Xenopus tropicalis: one gene and its partners. The main gene of each other region encodes a partner of the protein of the gene in region 2 in a complex. Links are inferred from orthologs where the notes say so. Each region holds a gene or a part of one and is shown on either strand. Other genes may lie near its edges.

Region 1 (4,273 bases), on a different chromosome or scaffold from region 2:
GATTAGTAAGCAAGTATAAACATATTCTGTTAACTGTTAACCTAGCTCTCCTAAACTCTCAACCGACTCAATTCAGAGTTTAAATGTTTAGTTGTAGATTAGAGGAGGACCTACGGGTAAAGCTTGGACACTGTAAGGAGACAGGGGAGGCGATGGGAATTGCTATGTGTAAGTGTGAGAAGCAAAAAGAGAGACGTGCAGAAGTATTGTGTGCTGTATACCTGCTTCCCTGCAAGAAGTCTGTAATAAAGTGTGTGTGATTCTTTGCAACTGGGTTAAGATGCCTACTTTTTTAGTAAAGACCGTGTACATGCATTTGACAGTAATGGGTGCCTGCCAGCCACAGGTAGCCCTGTTACAAGCCAACAGTATTACTTGGAAAAAGAAAGATTATTAAATAAAAAAAACCTGTAATGGTTTTGCAAGACTCCAGTGTCCCCAGTAAAGACTATAATGAATTTATCCGCCGCTTTATCCCAGAGCGAATCTGAAATACAGCCTCCTAAATACTTTAAAGGTTCAGTGGATTAAAACTGGTATTATTCACAGATATGCTGCATGAGCTGGGATCGGATTCAGAGCACAGCTGTTCAGAGATCCATATGAAATGTGACCTTTTGACCAGCTTATACTATTATTTAGGAAATTATATTCCGTTTGCTTTCAGTTAATTAAAGTGATACTGACACTAAAAAACTACTCTTCAAAATATGAATGTATGTAAAAAGTTACCTATAGGTCACGTTGATCATTTTTCACAGATAGGGCTGCTTTTGTAAGTAATTGTTGTTTGAAGTTCCTAAACCTGACTGTTTTGCCAACCTGACTGTCCCTTCTCAGCCTGTCAGTTATCATTTCTAATGCTAACAGACTCCTGCTGCACAAATATGGCTGCCCCCTCATAAAGCAACATGGGGGATCAGATGGGTAACATAAAAACAAATACTATTATGGAAAAATTATAAATAGCATGCAAAGGCAGTTGTAAAAAGGGTTTAATTTCTGGTGTCGGTATCTCTTTAACACCTGGTTGTATGACACACTGGTAACTGTTAAGTAATTCTGCAACTGCATAGAAGCTGGTTTCAGTATTGTTAAAGGGGTTGTTCACCTTCACATAAATGAAGCTATTTTAGCAGATTAGGTCATTTTAATAAAATATGTAATTTATCTGTTTTAGAGAAAATTACCTCTGAAGATAGCGTTTCTGTATAGGGCAGGATACAGCAGAGGCACCAGGGGAGGGGGTCGCTGAACCCTTTCTGCACAAGCCTGTGTCAGCGTGTGGAAGCTCTGTGTAACACTGAGCACTGGCAGTAGGAGTCTAAAGCTACTGTGCATGTTGCTTTTCTTGCCTCTCCTCTGATTGGCTGCTAAACTGCCCGGCACCTGGTGCTGCTGCTGTCTCTGCTATGAATGTTCAGGGAGGGAGGGGGGAGCAGGGGGGAAGCTCCCATGTGACTCACATTGCAGGGAAGAAACAAATGCTCCGCCTCCCTGAAATGTTTCTGTATGCCTTTGTGTGAACTGCAGCTTTTACAGTAAGTGTTAAACAGCTTATTCAAACACATAGATACACAGTCTTTGCGTGGCACATATTATCATACTCAGGGGAACATAATCTATCTTTTGGGTAGCAGTGAGAAAAGGTGGACAAACCCTTTAATGGGACTTGAAGCTCCTTTGCTTTCCACTGAACCTACGCACCAAACAGTGTGAAAAGCAGAGGAACTTTAAGTCACACAACCCATTACTTTACAACAAGGTGGGGGAGGTTGCATTATACTGTGAGTAAAAGGGGGGGTGGGGAAACTGGTTTCATTGAAAACAGGCAGACTATTACAATCTGTGAAATCAGGCATTTCTGTGTAAATATATATTCTGGAAGGTTAGTGTTTATGTACCTTACCTACATAAGCATAACTAAACAAAGTCTTGTCAAAAAGAGAGTATTATTATTATTAACATTTATTTATAAAGCGCCAACATATTCCGCAGCGCTGTACAATAAGTGGGTTACATACATTGGACATACAGAGTAACATATAAAGCAATCAATAACCGATACAAGAGGTGAAGAGGGCCCTGCCCAAAAGAGCTTACAATCTACAAGTATATTTAGCTTCTCCAGAGGGACATGAGAAGGTGAAAAAGAAATCATTCTATACTAGTAAAATGGGTAAAAATGTAAATTAGAATGCAACCAACAAATAGTCTTTATTTCTAATGTACTACAGAAAAACATCTGAAATGAAAATTTATTTGGAAGGTGAACAACCCATTTAAACTAATGCACTGATGCTGGAAATTAATTACAACAACTTGGGTTCCAAAGATTCCAGTATACGGAAATGAATGATATATGTATAACTCTGAATTGTGTTATACTGTATATTTACTTGTCAGTTATATTTAACTGACCCTATTCCTTAAGCATTAAAAATTCCACATTGCTAGTTTAGAAAAATTTGCATTTATATGCAAGCCATTTATACCCTTAAAGGAGAAGGAAAGGCTAATAAAGAGTTAATCTCAAGCTGCAGGCATACCTTCAGTTGTCTCAATAGTGCCCTTAAGTCTCCCCATATTTCTCCTGTTCAGATGATCAGAAGCATAATAGGGGGAAAAAATGCTGAGCTGTGTAAAGAAAGTTCCCATAATGCCATGCTCCTCCACCAAGACCAAGACTGGTTACATGCTCAGTTTGTAAGACTATGAGGAAGCTTCCTGCTGATTGGCCCAGATCCACATTCCTATGGGGGGGAGTGAGTTCTTAGCATTCTTTGGGGAGGGGGTGCAGGAGAGGGGAGAGAGGAGAGAGCTGGCACATGAATTACAGACACAAGAAATCTTTTGTATATATGTATATTTTTATTTATAAAGCGCTACTTATGTACGCAGCGCTGTACAGTAGAATACATTAATACGAACAGGGGGTTAATAAGATAATAGATAAATACAAAGTATAACAATAAATACAAATAAATACAAGATACAGTTGCAATAAGTTAAGAGTCAAAGACACAAGAGGATGGAGGTCCCTGCCCCGTAGAGCTTACAATCTATATGGGAGGGTAACTTACAGACACAAATAGGCAAATATAAGTGCTGTAGGTCACAGTGGGTGACATTACAATATAAGTGCTGATTCCCAGATCAGGTGCTGGGCGAGTTCTCCAAAAGGTAGTCTTTTAGTTTGGTTTTAAAAAGACTGGGGGAGGATTCTCTCCGGAGGAAATCAGGGAGGGCATTCCAGATGTAAGGGGCAGCAAGGCAGAAAGGTTAAGGCGGGAAACAGCAGTTGTAGTGGGGGGCGCAGCCAAGCGATTGCTCTGCGAGGAACGAAGGAGTCGGCCAGGGACGTACGGAGACACAAGGGAAGAGATGTAGTGAGGAGCAGAGGAATGGAGGGCTTTGAAGGTTAGAAGAAGTTTGTAAGATATTCTTTGTTTAATAGGAAGCCACGATAAGGCCTTTAGCAGGGGAGGGGCCTGAACTCTCCTGGATGAGAGGAGGAGAATTCTGGCAGCAGTATTTAATATAGACTGTAGGGGGGAAAGATGGGAGTTAGGGAGGCCGGTTAATAACAGGTTGCAGTAGTCCAGTCGGGATAGGATGAGGGCATGCATGAGCAGCCTAGCTGTTGCAGTAGAGAGAAAGGGACAGATTTTGCCAATATTGCGTAAGAAAAAGTGACAGGTTTTGACAGTGGAGTTAATGTGGTCAGAGAAGGAGAGACAGGAGTCAAAGATCACCCCCAAACAGCGTGACGAATCGACAGGGTTGATGAGGGTGCCTTCAATAGAGATAGAAAAGGGGGGAGTAGGACCAGGCTTAGGCGGAAAGATCATTAGTTCAGATTTTGACAGAGACCTCAGTGCAGCTTTTCTGTGAGTGCTTATGGCTGTATTTACATAGACTTTCTGATAAAGCTTACTTAGTTTTTACCTTTCCTTCTGTCTGTGACATCTTAGGTTAGCCATTCTGGCTAATTTGCCAGAACCAAAGATTGTCAGTCAAGGCCTGAAAGAAGGAGAAAGAGGATCCATCTAAATACTTGGAAAGTATTTTTTACAATGAGAGCTGCGAAGTTGTGGCTTTCTCTTCCTGAATCAGTTGTACTGGCTAATACATTAGAGAGCTGGTTGAATGCCTTTTTGGCAAGTGAGGGAATACAGGGTTATGGGAGATAGCTCTTAGTACAAGTTGATCCAGGGACTGGTCCAATTGCCATCTTGGAGTCAGGAAGGAATTTTACCTCCATCTGAGGCAA
Region 2 (4,197 bases):
GTGTGAGTGACAGTGAGAGATACTGACAGGAGGGAGTGTGAGTGACAGTGAGGCATACTGACAGGAAGGAGTGTGAGTGACAGTGAGAGATACTGACAGGAGGGAGTGTGAGTGACAGTGAGAGATACTGACAGGAGGGAGTGTGAGTGACAGTGAGGGATACTGACAGGAGGGAGTGTGAGTGACAGTGAGAGATACTGACAGGAGGGAGTGTGAGTGACAGTGAGAGATACTGACAGGAGGGAGTGTGAGTGACAGGAGGGAGTGTGAGTGACAGTGAGAGATACTGACAGGAGGGAGTGTGAGTGACAGTGAGGGATACTGACAGGAGGGAGTGTGAGTGACAGGAGGGAGTGTGAGTGACAGGAGGGAGTGTGAGTGACAGGAGGGAGTGTGAGTGACAGTGAGAGATACTGACAGGAGGGAGTGTGAGTGACAGTGAGGGATACTGACAGGAGGGAGTGTGAGTGACAGTGAGGGATACTGACAGGAGGGAGTGTGAGTGACAGTGAGGGATACTGACAGGAGGGAGTGTGAGTGACAGGAGGGAGTGTGAGTGACAGTGAGAGATACTGACAGGAGGGAGTGTGAGTGACAGTGAGGGATACTGACAGGAGGGAGTGTGAGTGACAGTGATGGATACTGACAGGAGGGAGTGTGAGTGACAGTGAGAGATACTGACAGGAGGGAGTGTGAGTGACAGTGAGAGATACTGACAGGAGGGAGTGTGAGTGACAGTGAGGGATACTGACAGGAGGGAGTGTGAGTGACAGTGAGGGATACTGACAGGAGGGAGTGTGAGTGACAGTGAGAGATACTGACAGGAGGGAGTGTGAGTGACAGTGAGAGATACTGACAGGAGGGAGTGTGAGTGACAGTGAGAGATACTGACAGGAGGGAGTGTGAGTGACAGGAGGGAGTGTGAGTGACAGTGAGAGATACTGAAAGGAGGGAGTGTGAGTGACAGTGAGGGATACTGACAGGAGGGAGTGTGAGTGACAGGAGGGAGTGTGAGTGACAGGAGGGAGTGTGAGTGACAGTGAGGGATACTGACAGGAGGGAGTGTGAGTGACAGGAGGGAGTGTGAGTGACAGGAGGGAGTGTGAGTGACAGTGAGGGATACTGACAGGAGGGAGTGTGAGTGACAGTGAGGGAGTGAGTAAGGGAATACATGGGGGACAGCAGCTGGAGAGTGTAAGAGGATGAAGAGTGAAGACAACACGTTACAGTGCCCGGAACCATCTCACTCAGTCTTCTGTTCCCGCCCGGCTCGGAAGGCAGGCTCCTTGACGTCACTCAATTCCTCCAAGATGGCGGCGCCCAGTCGGCTGCAGTGACACTGAAGCTTGTAGGTAGGTGTATATATGTCGGTATGTATGTAGGAATACCGGGATAAGTGTTTGTGGTGTACTGCTCAGTGAGCGGAGCCCTCCAGCTACAGCCATACAAGGCGCCCCGGTGCCCCTGCCCATACACACAGGCCCACTGGCTGAGCGGTACCGTACTGCCGGACCGTATAGTACAGATCCCCGTACTGCCAGCTGGGGTTAGTAGTGAACAAATATATTTCTGTAATTGGAAATGAATTATGACCCGGGTGCATTTATAAAGAATAATGAATATATTTCGAAAGCATAAATACAATAATATAAATGTCTGTGCCCATCTCCCACCTATAGCCTGTGCCCATCTCCCACCTATAGCCTGTGCCCATCTCCCACCTATAGCCTGTGCCCATCTCCCACCTATAGCCTGTGCCCATCTCCCACCTATAGCCTGTGCCCATCTCCCACCTATAGCCTGTGCCCATCTCCCACCTATAGCCTGTGCCCATCTCCCACCTATAGCCTGTGCCCATCTCCCACCTATAGCCTGTGCCCATCTCCCACCTATAGCCTGTGCCCATCTCCCACCTATAGCCTGTGCCCATCTCCCACCTATAGCCTGTGCCCATCTCCCACCTATAGCCTGTGCCCATCTCCCACCTATAGCCTGTGCCCATCTCCCACCTATAGCCTGTGCCCATCTCCCACCTATAGCCTGTGCCCATCTCCCACCTATAGCCTGTGCCCATCTCCCACCTATAGCCTGTGCCCATCTCCCACCTATAGCCTGTGCCCATCTCCCACCTATAGCCTGTGCCCATCTCCCACCTATAGCCTGTGCCCATCTCCCACCTATAGCCTGTGCCCATCTCCCACCTATAGCCTGTGCCCATCTCCCACCTATAGCCTGTGCCCATCTCCCACCTATAGCCTGTGCCCATCTCCCACCTATAGCCTGTGCCCATCTCCCACCTATAGCCTGTGCCAGTCTGGCTCTGTCTCCTACCAACCATGTGATTGCCCTGAGCACTAGGAACCCACATGGGCGGCACCACTGGTACAACTGTAGGGGCATGGCTGGCCTTTGGGGTGCACCATAAAGAAGGAGGGGTGCCAGGGTGTCCATTATATATTTATTTATTTATTTTATGAAGCAGCATCAAGCCGTCAGGATGAGAACCTTGCGCTTCCTGATTTCTGCCCGTCATCTGTGTGCCCGGGGCAGAGGCATACCAGCAGGCCAGGCTCTTGGCACCGGCAATAACGCCCAGGTAAGCGCAGCGCCGACACGTTTCCACTTATACGTGGAATATTCCATTCTCTCCTGTCCCCTCTCATAGTCAGACTTTCCCTTTAATCTCGGGCGTGTACCCTCCTTCAGTTACAGACAGGGCACACTGGCTACCTAGTGGGCAACAATTTAGAGAAATGGAGGGCACTCCTGGCTAGAATATCCTTGCCAGGAGTTATTATATATACAAAAAATAAGTATAAAGTATCCAGGTGCTAGGGTTTTAATAATCCCCCCATAAGAGGACTATACACATCCACAAAAACCCTGCACACCAGAATAAACTTTCCCAGGGAGGTATTTATAATTAAAAAAAACATTTTATTCATTTAAACAAAGGCGTTTGAGCGGAAACGTTGGGGTATTCTCTCATCCAGATTATCTGCCTTCATATCTTGTTTTTCAGTTATTACACTGGGGGTATGTATTTATTTGCTTTTTGATGGATATACAATTTTTAAGGTTGATACTTTTTTCTGTATCATGTTTAAATGAATAAAATGTTTTTTTTTAATTATAAATACCTCCCTGGGGAAGTTTTTTCTGGTGTGCAGGGTTTTTGTGGGGTTTTGTACCTAGTGGGCAACCACTGCATATTGTCACCTGAGTAATAGAACTTCCCTGGAAGCTTAATCAGAAATGTTATCCTGTGCATGTCGTCTTCCAGAAACAGGTGACCTGCTGTCTTCACACATCTCCGCCTCCTGGGCCTCCCCAAGCCACTTCCTCAGCCGGCTCGGTTACTCCATACGAGGATGTGTTCCAGAGGGAGCAGAGGAACAAAGCCTCCTTTGTGGAGGTCCTTGATCTTTACTGCAACCGAGATGTGAGGAGGAGAGGACATGTGGAGATCATAGAGGCGGCTCTTAGATGGATGACGGAGTTTGGGGTGGAAAAGGACTTGGAGGTTTATAATAAATTGCTTGACGTGTTTCCCAAGGAGGTCTTTGTCCCCCAAAATTACATCCAGAGGATGTTCAACCACTACCCACGCCAGCAGGAGTGCGCCATAAGGGTGCTAGAGCAGATGGAGAATTACGGTAAAGAGCCTACTACTTACTACACTACTTACTATGGGCCAAGGAGGGGGCTATGGGACATGGAGTCTGTCCCTCCCACTGCAGGGTGATACAGTGACACAGACAGGAGGGGGCTATGGGACACGGAGTCTGTCCCTCCCACTGCAGGGTGATACAGTGACACAGACAGGAGGGAGCTATGGGACATGGAGTCTGTCCCTCCCGCTGCAGGGTGATACAGTGACACAGACAGGAGGGGGCTATGGGACATGTCTGCCCCTCCCACTGCAGGGTGATACAGTGACACAGACAGGAGGGAGCTATGGAACACGGAGTCTGTCCCTCCCACTGCAGGGTGATACAGTGACACAGACAGGAGGGGGCTATGGGACACTGAGTCTGTCCCTCCCACTGCAGGGTGATACAGTGACACAGACAGGAGGGAGCTATGGGACATGGAGTCTGTCCCTCCCGCTGCAGGGTGATACAGTGACACAGACAGGAGGGGGCTATGGGACATGTCTGCCCCTCCCACTGCAGGGTGATACAGTGACACAGACAG
Region 3 (4,342 bases), on a different chromosome or scaffold from region 2:
TGACATGATGTCAGTGACACTGAAGAGGATCTGAAGAAAGTTGTTCTGCAAAGTAACTTGGAACTCCAGGCCAACTGGCCCATGTGTAAATACTTTATGCATCTAGATATCAGGCATACATGGGCCATGACTGGGTCCTGCAAAGGAGAAACAATATAACTGTTAGATCATAATGCCTTATATATACTCACATTACCTAAAATTTTTCAAGGAAAAGTTCACAGAAAATTGAAATTATTAGCCTTCCTATTCTGCTTATTTTCCACCCACAGCTTTCTATTCTTATCTTGTATTTCTTATCTTTCTGTTCATACCCTCTATTATTCATCTTACATTCTGTGTTCCAAACTACTGCATTGTGGCTATGGTACCTGTTGCTAATTAACTGCCTCTTGGACTGTCTATACCAGTACTGTGCTGCAATTTACATGTAGTGCTCAAATAATTTGTCATACCACATGTTCCAAGGCCAGAATATGTTATAGAATGGCATGATTTCAGCTACTTTTTTTTTTTTAATTTTGTTTTTTAATGATTTGCTTTCCACTTCTGCCTCTTTCCAAGTTTTAAATTCAAAAAGTTATTTCTTTCTCAGGTAACAATTTTATTGTTATTATTACTTATCGTTCATCTTTCAGTCTCTCATTTAAAGGGGTAGTTCACCTTTAAATTAAATTTTACTATGATGTAGAGAGTGATATTCGGAAACAATTTGCAATTTGGATTTTCAGCAGCTAACTGGTTGCTAGGGGTCAATTTAACGTAGAAACCAGGCCCTGGATTAAAAGAGGCCAGAACATTAAAATGAGAGGGCATGTATATAAGGATAAGGCTAAAAAGTTTCAATAATAACTAGAAAGGGAAGTTTGAGAAAAAACTTCATGTTGGGTTGAAAAACATGAAGTCACTGCATGGGCTCCTCCAACTTTCTCTGACCTTGGACCACAGTTATACAGTAAAAACCACTGTGCAAAGTTTGGGGACCCTGGTTTTAATAGTGTCTGAATGGCAGCAACTTAAATTTGATTGGTGGTTGGTGGCTCAACCCCCTTTTTCTAACCTGGAACTGCAGTTACCCAGTGACTAACTCTGGTAAGTTTAGGGACCCTAGGATTAATAGTTAAAGAACGGCAGCAGTTTAAACCAATAAAAGTCAATAGGTGAATTGTGATTGGTGGTTGTGCCCCTTTTTCTAACCTTGAGTCAAAGTCACCCAGTGACAAACAGTGGGCACCCTGGCATAAATAGTGTGAGACTGGCAGCATTTTAAATTTAAAGCAAAATTGAAAGTCAATAGGTAAACTCTGATTGGCTGTTGGTGGCTCCGTCCACTTTTTTAACCTTGAACCACAGTCACCTGGTGCCTAACCCTGCAAAGTTTGGGGACTTCCACCGTCAACAGGTAAAATCTGATTGGCTGTTCACAGCTCCGCCCACTTTTGGGCATCCAACAATCATCATATTTTCATTCAGGCTGGCCCCATGACTATGTGATTCAAGTTTGGGGAGTGTAGCCTCAAAGCTGTAAGATTGGCAGCAGTTTCAATTTCCCCATTAAAGTCAATGGGTAAAATTTGATTGGCCCCTCCCACTTTGGGGGTCATCCAACAAATGTTGCTGTTTCATTCGGGGTGACCCCATTATTATGTTATTCAAGTTTGGGGGGTGCAGCTTCAAAGCTGTAAGTGTGCCAGCAGTTTGAATATCTTCCCTGTCAAAGTCAATGGAAAAATTGGGGGGTTCGGAGCGGCGCAATCGCTTAGAAAAGCACAAGCAACCTGCTCCTCTATAGGCCGAAGAAGTGTGGGGAGTTTGGGTGTTGTACCCCTAAAACTGTAGGAGGAGTAGCGGTTAGAAAATGGGGGGCACTAAGAAGAAGAAGAAGCGGAAGAATAATAATGGGTCAGTGACCCCCCATATGACAGCTGGAAAGAGAATTTCTGAGAAAGGCAAATAATTGAAAAATTATAAAAGTTAAAAAATGAAGACCAATGAAAAATTTGGGACATTCTTAAAATAGTAAAAATTGACAAAAAGGTGAATAATCCCTTTAAAAAAAAGACTTGTGGCAACAATGGATTAAATACCAATGCACATTGGCATAACTAGATGTTACTGGGCATCTTTGCAGTCCTGTAGATTGTAAGCTCTTGCGAGCAGGGCCCTCTCACCCTATTCTTACTCTGCATACCCGTGTTTGTTAAACTTTTTAAAATCCCTGTTTGTTTAAATTTATTGTGAAGTGGTGCATAATTTGCTGGCATTATATAAATGAATGATGATTCTGCCTATTTGAGTAAGTAACAGGGGTGATGAAGGGGTTAAACGCCCTTGGCCACTCAGTTTAACCCATATATCTGCTGGCAGGATGGCAAAGATACCCACTTTGATGCCCCTTTTCCTTAGTTGTTTATCAGACTGAATAAGAAAGGATTGCCCCCTTGGTGCCAGTTTTCCTGCCTTTCCGGGCCAGGCTGGGACAAGCCGGAGTTAACGTAGCGCAACGCTGTCAATGAATGTGATCTGTTAAATTTGTGGTGCAAGTTTATTTCTTTAAAACACCAGTTACTAATAAAACCAACATCAAGGCACCCAACGCCCTTCTTATTTATTTTTGCATTTCTCTTGTGCATAGCAATTTTCTGTTTCTAAATACATCAATTTTTTAAATAAAATGTCATATTTGAACACTTCCTTGTACGAGTTCCCTAAGCCTAAGGGAAGGACAGGCAGCTCGATTCTTCTATACTCACCCCTGTCCGCACTCCTACACACGCTTCTCCTTTGCTAAACTTCCCAGCGCACTAAGCTACAATCACTTCCGATTCCATGCGAGGCATTCTGGGAGATTGAGTTCTTTTGTCAATGAACAGTCGGTGACATCCTGACTCCGGCAATACAGTTCCCGTCATGCTCTGGGCTTCAGGACCCAAATAGGAAGTTGTGATGTGGCTTGTTTGACATTTGAAAGGACTGTGTTTCTCCATTCATCTGAGCTGAGAAAGATCCGACTGGCAGCAGTCATGGCTCAATGTGACGTTCTGTGCTTGTTCGATGTGGATGGCACCCTGACAGCAGCCAGGCAGGTACCAGTATCAGAACCGAGAACTATTCACAAGGATCTGTCACTTTTGGCACAAGTTTATTTTCACACAGCATTGCAAACATGTTATGTGTGTATATGTTGCATTTATATACTGCATGTAAATGCAGTGCTTAAAGTTAACGCAATAGGACAGAGTAAGATTAAGACTTTACCAGAATATAAATAACAGTACAAAATTCTACCCTTCTGCCCCATTAAGTTTATAGTTTATGTTGGATTCCGGGCTGCAACCGGGAATTCATAGTGTATGTTGCATTTCAGTAAAATGCATCCATTTTGACCTGCTAATTGCATAGAATTGATTTAGAAGGGGGGGGGGGGTTAAATTCCCTTTATATATTATAACATTATTATAAGTACTAAGAGGTAGCTAACAAATTGTGACCACATCAGTGATTAAGCTTTTTCCTTGTACTAAGTCTAGAAGTAGGTAAAATTAGGTAAAAAATTAATACATTTCACTTTACTTCTAAAAAAGTGATGGTCAGTGTTTACACCTTCTATGGGGAATAAGTTTTCTTGTACTTGTGACTGGGTTTATCTTTTTTACTGACAAACAACAAAGGTCTTAGCTTGCTTTATGACAATAAACATTTAGTACATGCTGCTTGGAGTACATTTTGGGACACACTGCTAATGACAAGCACTGCTACAAGTAGGTGAAATCACCAAGAAGCTCTGTATCTTCGAGTAATCCTAGATTACTTTTTTTTTTTTATGCACTGTCTGCATAAAAAGTAAGGATAATTTTAACAAAATGCAGATATTGGTTCAAACTGCCATGTTTTTTGCACAATTGAACTCAGCCTGCATTCACACCATGGATGCAGGTCTTTGTGGTCCAGCGAGGAGTTCAAGACCCTGTGCACCCCCAACCTGACAACCTGAAAAAACAGGCACTCTGCAGAGCTGTATTCACAAGGGACCACTGGGGAGGGGGCATATAGGAGTTTTCTATCCTTCCCCCCTAATTGCATTTCATTCTATCTTTGGGAGGCTAAAAATTCATGCCCGCCAGCACATTAATTATTAATCTGCTGTGAGGTGCAGAGCATAGCTGGCCCTTATGCTGGGTAAATGGTCAGTAATAGGCAGAATTTTGAGCCCCTTTGAGCTGTAGCATTTGCACGTGGGACAATGATAAATGACCCCAGCATGTCTTGCATTTACATGAATGATGCAGGCAATAGGGAGCTGAAGTTCAACCATGATAAAGGGTCCATCTTTTGGACCCCA
Region 4 (4,223 bases), on a different chromosome or scaffold from region 2:
GTAAATACTTAAGACATATGATGTAAACTACACTGGTGGCCTGTAATTAGCACGGCTCCCTGAATTTGGTTCCAATCTGGGCACTGTATGTTTTTCCTGTGCTTGTGTGGGTTTCCTCTGGGAACTGTGATTCCTCTTAAACCATACAGTGAGCTTTATTGGCCTTTGATGAAAGTGACCTTAGTGTATGTAAATGATATAGGGACCTTAGATTGTAAGCTCCAATGGCAAAGGGGCAGATGAGTATCATAATCAATGCAATGTGCTGCATTTATATATGAGTGATATATAAATAAAGGATAATATTTAAAACTGAGGAAAAGGGATGCAATATTGCCTAGTATGTGGTATATGTATTAAGCTTTTTACACAAACTAACACGATCTTCTTAACTCACTGTTTCTTATAAATTCATAATTTTGAATGCACGTGATGGCTGGATAGATGAATGATAATCTTAGTTAGGTAGACTAATCTGTAACGTTGTCTTCAAGAATGTTTGTTAGGTGTAAATAAAGCTGTATACAAACGCTTTCCCATGCGTTCCATCAGCAACGCATCTGCGCATGCCTGCCTTTGCCTGCCCGCTCTCACGTTTAATTGGTTGGCTAGCGGTGAGGTCATTAGGAGGCGACACGGACACGCATGCTCAGAGGTTCACGGGTTGTCAGTACTATGGCTCCTTGAAGGAGTGCACTGTGGAGGTGAGCCGCTGTAGCCTTATGGAATAATGGTAATACTGTGTGCTTGCTTCAGCTGCAGCCCCATACCAGGTATATAATGGAACTTGTTGCGGTACAGGCAGCTATGCAGGGTCCTTCAGGGCTTTACCACTTAGGCAATAAAGGCACATAGTATCCAAGCTCCTTTCTGTCATTTACATTGTTTTGCACCAACTTGACCTTCTTTTGTTATGTCAGTCTCTGCTGAAATGATGACCTTGCCTTCCTAAGCTTCTGCTTCCAGGGGTAAGCCTTTTGGTTATTGATGATGATCTCTCTGTATATGTATCAGCATGCATTGCTAGGAAATGTATGAGCCCTAAACCCACAATACCTACTTAGCACATGTCTCTGTCCCTTCCCCCAAGCGAGTTGCTCTCTTAAACTTCACACCTTACCTGATGCTCCCCACTGCTGTAATGTATTCAATGTTGGTTGGTTGCAATGGTGCAGATATGTTTGTAAATAACCCCCCCCCCCCAAGAATCTTTGATGTTGATAATTGCGCCCTGAGGAAAAACACAGTAACTTCTACAGATTTCTTTAAAAAATGTATTTGTATTTAAATGTCTTAAATGATATTGTCTTTTTCTCTCAAACCCCAAATTATTTTTAGGTAAAGGCCCCTGGGTTTCATGCAACATTCAGGATTTTATAAACTGAACATTTTTATTTTATATCTAAACAGCAATGGCTTTAAGCTTAAATATAATACAGAAGCTACATCTGTGCAGACATCCCAGATGGACTAAACCATTCTGCCCATTGTTGCACCCGTCTTCACAACTCTTGCAATGCAAACTGTACAGCAGCAAATATCGCAGGCCTGGCCTCCCCCCAGACAACACTCCTCCTTGGAAAAGGATCAATTTCAGCTTTGAGAAGGGAGTGGCAGGAGTGAAGAAACACTTTGGGTTGCTGAAGAAGGAAGTAGAGGATCATTTGAGAGGTCCTGGGGGAAAGACTTTGAGGGAGAATATTTTGGAGCAGACAAATGTTGTTTGGGAGTTCAGAAGCTTAGAGGATCTGGACAAATGGACTCTATCGTCAGACCAGGAGATAGGAGGGAAAAGTCAGGTGTCTCTAAAGCTGGGAAGGAACAATCAGACAGCTCTTTTTTATGGTACCCTCAATACTGAAGTTCCTCGGGATGGCGAAACAAGATACAGTGGGTACTGCACTATGAAGTCCAAAACCCCTTTGGTAAGTACAGTGCTAGTAAAGAGAAATAATGCACTTCCATGTAAAGGGGTTGTTCGCCTTTATATTTACTTTTAGTCTGATGTAAAGACTGATATTCTGACACAGTTTGGCTTCTGGGGTCAGTGACCCCCATTTGAAAGCCAGAAAGAGCCAGAAGAAGTCAAATAATTCAAAAACTATGATTAAAAAATATTGAAAACCACTTGAAAAGTTGTAACAAATAAGTCTACAGTGTAACATACTAAAGCTGAACTTAAAGAATCACATCTGTTGCTAAATATTTTTAGTGTTCATAAATTTTTTTTTTTTTTTTTAAATGTAACTTTTAAATATGAAGGAATAGCAAATTCACTGTGGGATGCCAATATGTTGGGCGCCCCCCGAGTGAATAAAATTGCTATGTCTTTATCCCTGGGGTTGGTGCTACTGTTGGGAAAAATACACAGTGCTACATGGCTTAATTACCTTTCCCAGGCGTCTGTAGGGCAGACTTAAGGCCATACATGGGCAGATTTAAGCTAGATAAGCCACTCAATGCAACTGCAATAGGAAAGCATTGTTGTGTTTTAGCCTCTGCCCTTGAGCCACTGTCCCTCTTAACAACAGTGTGGTTACTATGCAACACAGAAGAGCTGCGGAACAGAAGCTACACACAGATAATAACTGTCCAAATAGTTATTATTGTTGTTTTAGAATAGCTCTACCCATTTTATTGGTTGCTAATGGGTTACGGCACCTAGGCAAAATTATTGCCTTTTTATATATTGGGTTAAATATATGGCAGTGTCAGGGGGAAATGTTCTATAAAAGGCAGTAAAGGTGTGGGTTGCTGTGCTCATTATTAAATGTTTAAAGGCTACACTGTACCATTTATTCACTGCCTTTATTTAATATTTAGACTGATCTGATAGCAGTTCCAAATAAAAGACTAATGAGAATGTTGGTGAACTGCTACATTTTATATTGAAACCAGTTAAGTGTGCACAGTCTGTTTATTGAATATTTAATGGTAGGTATGTGCAACATGCATCAAACTACAGTGGCCATTAGGGAAAGCTGGAGATTTATAGCTGGAGGGCCAACGGCCTTTGGTTTTTGTTACTTACTGGAGTGGACCATTACCATTTCCATTATAAACAATTTTTATGAAATATGCATGGTTTACCTCCAATTTATTTCCTCTTTTAGGTAAAAGGATTCTGTCATGATTTTTATGGCATACTTTTTATTTCTGAATTACACTGGTTACATAGCAAATAATTCACTCTACCATTTAACACTTTATTCTTGAACCAACAAATGTATTTTTTAGCTGTAATATTGGTGTGTAGGCGCCATCTCAGTGCATTGTGTGTCTGAGCTTTCAGAAGGAGCCAGTGCTACATATTAGAACTGCTTTCAGGTAACTTAATATATCTCCTACTCCAATGTAACTGGAGGAGTCCCAAGCCGGACTTGGATTTCTTGCTATTGAGTGCTATTCTGATACCTACTGGGAGCTGCTATCTTGCTCGCTTCCCATTGTTCTGCTGATCGGCTGCTGGGAGGGGGGATATCACTCCAACTTGCAGCTCAGCAGTAAAGAGTGACTGAAGTTTATCAGATCACAGGTCACATGACTGTGGCACCCTGGGAAATGAAGAATATGTCTAACCCAATGTGAAATACAAAATAAAAAATGTTTGTGCTTTAAAAAATTGTATTTCAATGCAGGATTCTGCTGAAGAAGCTGTATTAACTGATATATTTTGAAAAAATGTTTTCCCATGACAGTTTTTCTTTAAGTATTTATCTCCATAAACTTTAATGTAACAGCTCCCCCAGTGGCCAGATAATAATGAACGTTAGCAGACTGCCAGCTTGGCTTTACCAACAAATAACATTTCACATGTGTGATTGCAACCATGGCCTGTCTTCTCCAGAGTAATAAATCTGTCATTGCAAAAACCTCAGGGTATAAATCAATGCACATAAATGTTTCATGATTGTTTGTTTTTAACATGTAGGGAGCATTCAATCGTAAGCTGCATTATGACTGGTCCAACTTTAACACTCTGTACTTGCGAGTACGTGGGGATGGACGACCTTGGATGGTGAACATCAAGTCAGACAGCTATTTCTCCCAACAAAGGGATGATCTATACAATTATTTCATATACACCCAAGGAGGCCCTTACTGGCAAGACATAAAGGTAAAAGAAAACCATTAAATCCTGTATTTGAGGTTGGGATGAGTTTGCCAAGATTGGGCAAACTAATATCTGGCTGTGTAATAGTTTAATCCCATCTAAAAATGAC

What was found.
Region 1: ecsit (region 2) and coa1 share a complex: the UniProt entries of both Homo sapiens proteins name them as parts of the mitochondrial complex. The link is inferred for Xenopus tropicalis from reciprocal best matches to the Homo sapiens genes ECSIT and COA1.
Region 3: ecsit (region 2) and tmem186 share a complex: the UniProt entries of both Homo sapiens proteins name them as parts of the mitochondrial complex. The link is inferred for Xenopus tropicalis from reciprocal best matches to the Homo sapiens genes ECSIT and TMEM186.
Region 4: ecsit (region 2) and ndufaf1 share a complex: the UniProt entries of both Homo sapiens proteins name them as parts of the mitochondrial complex. The link is inferred for Xenopus tropicalis from reciprocal best matches to the Homo sapiens genes ECSIT and NDUFAF1.

Annotation. Positions count from the first base shown.
Region 1 is NC_030682.2:57,067,405-57,071,677, forward strand, and holds the start of coa1 (cytochrome c oxidase assembly factor 1 homolog), read left to right. Parts: upstream 1-1,432; 5' UTR 1,433-1,541; intron 1,542-4,273. UniProt on the Homo sapiens protein: Component of the MITRAC (mitochondrial translation regulation assembly intermediate of cytochrome c oxidase complex) complex, that regulates cytochrome c oxidase assembly.
Region 2 is NC_030679.2:139,307,449-139,311,645, reverse strand, and holds the start of ecsit (evolutionarily conserved signaling intermediate in Toll pathway, mitochondrial precursor), read left to right. Parts: upstream 1-1,339; 5' UTR 1,340-1,352; intron 1,353-2,479; 5' UTR 2,480-2,497; coding exon 2,498-2,596; intron 2,597-3,283; coding exon 3,284-3,656; intron 3,657-4,197.
Region 3 is NC_030685.2:38,351,986-38,356,327, reverse strand, and holds the start of tmem186 (transmembrane protein 186), read right to left. Parts: upstream 2,849-4,342; 5' UTR 2,754-2,848; intron 138-2,753; 5' UTR 129-137; coding exon 1-128. Other genes in the region: pmm1 (phosphomannomutase 2), read left to right, coding at 3,024-3,086. UniProt on the Homo sapiens protein: As part of the MCIA complex, required for efficient assembly of the mitochondrial complex I.
Region 4 is NC_030684.2:115,761,593-115,765,815, reverse strand, and holds the start of ndufaf1 (complex I intermediate-associated protein 30, mitochondrial), read left to right. Parts: upstream 1-1,409; 5' UTR 1,410-1,410; coding exon of another isoform or gene 1,411-1,412; coding exon 1,413-1,925; intron 1,926-3,931; coding exon 3,932-4,117; intron 4,118-4,223. UniProt on the Homo sapiens protein: As part of the MCIA complex, involved in the assembly of the mitochondrial complex I.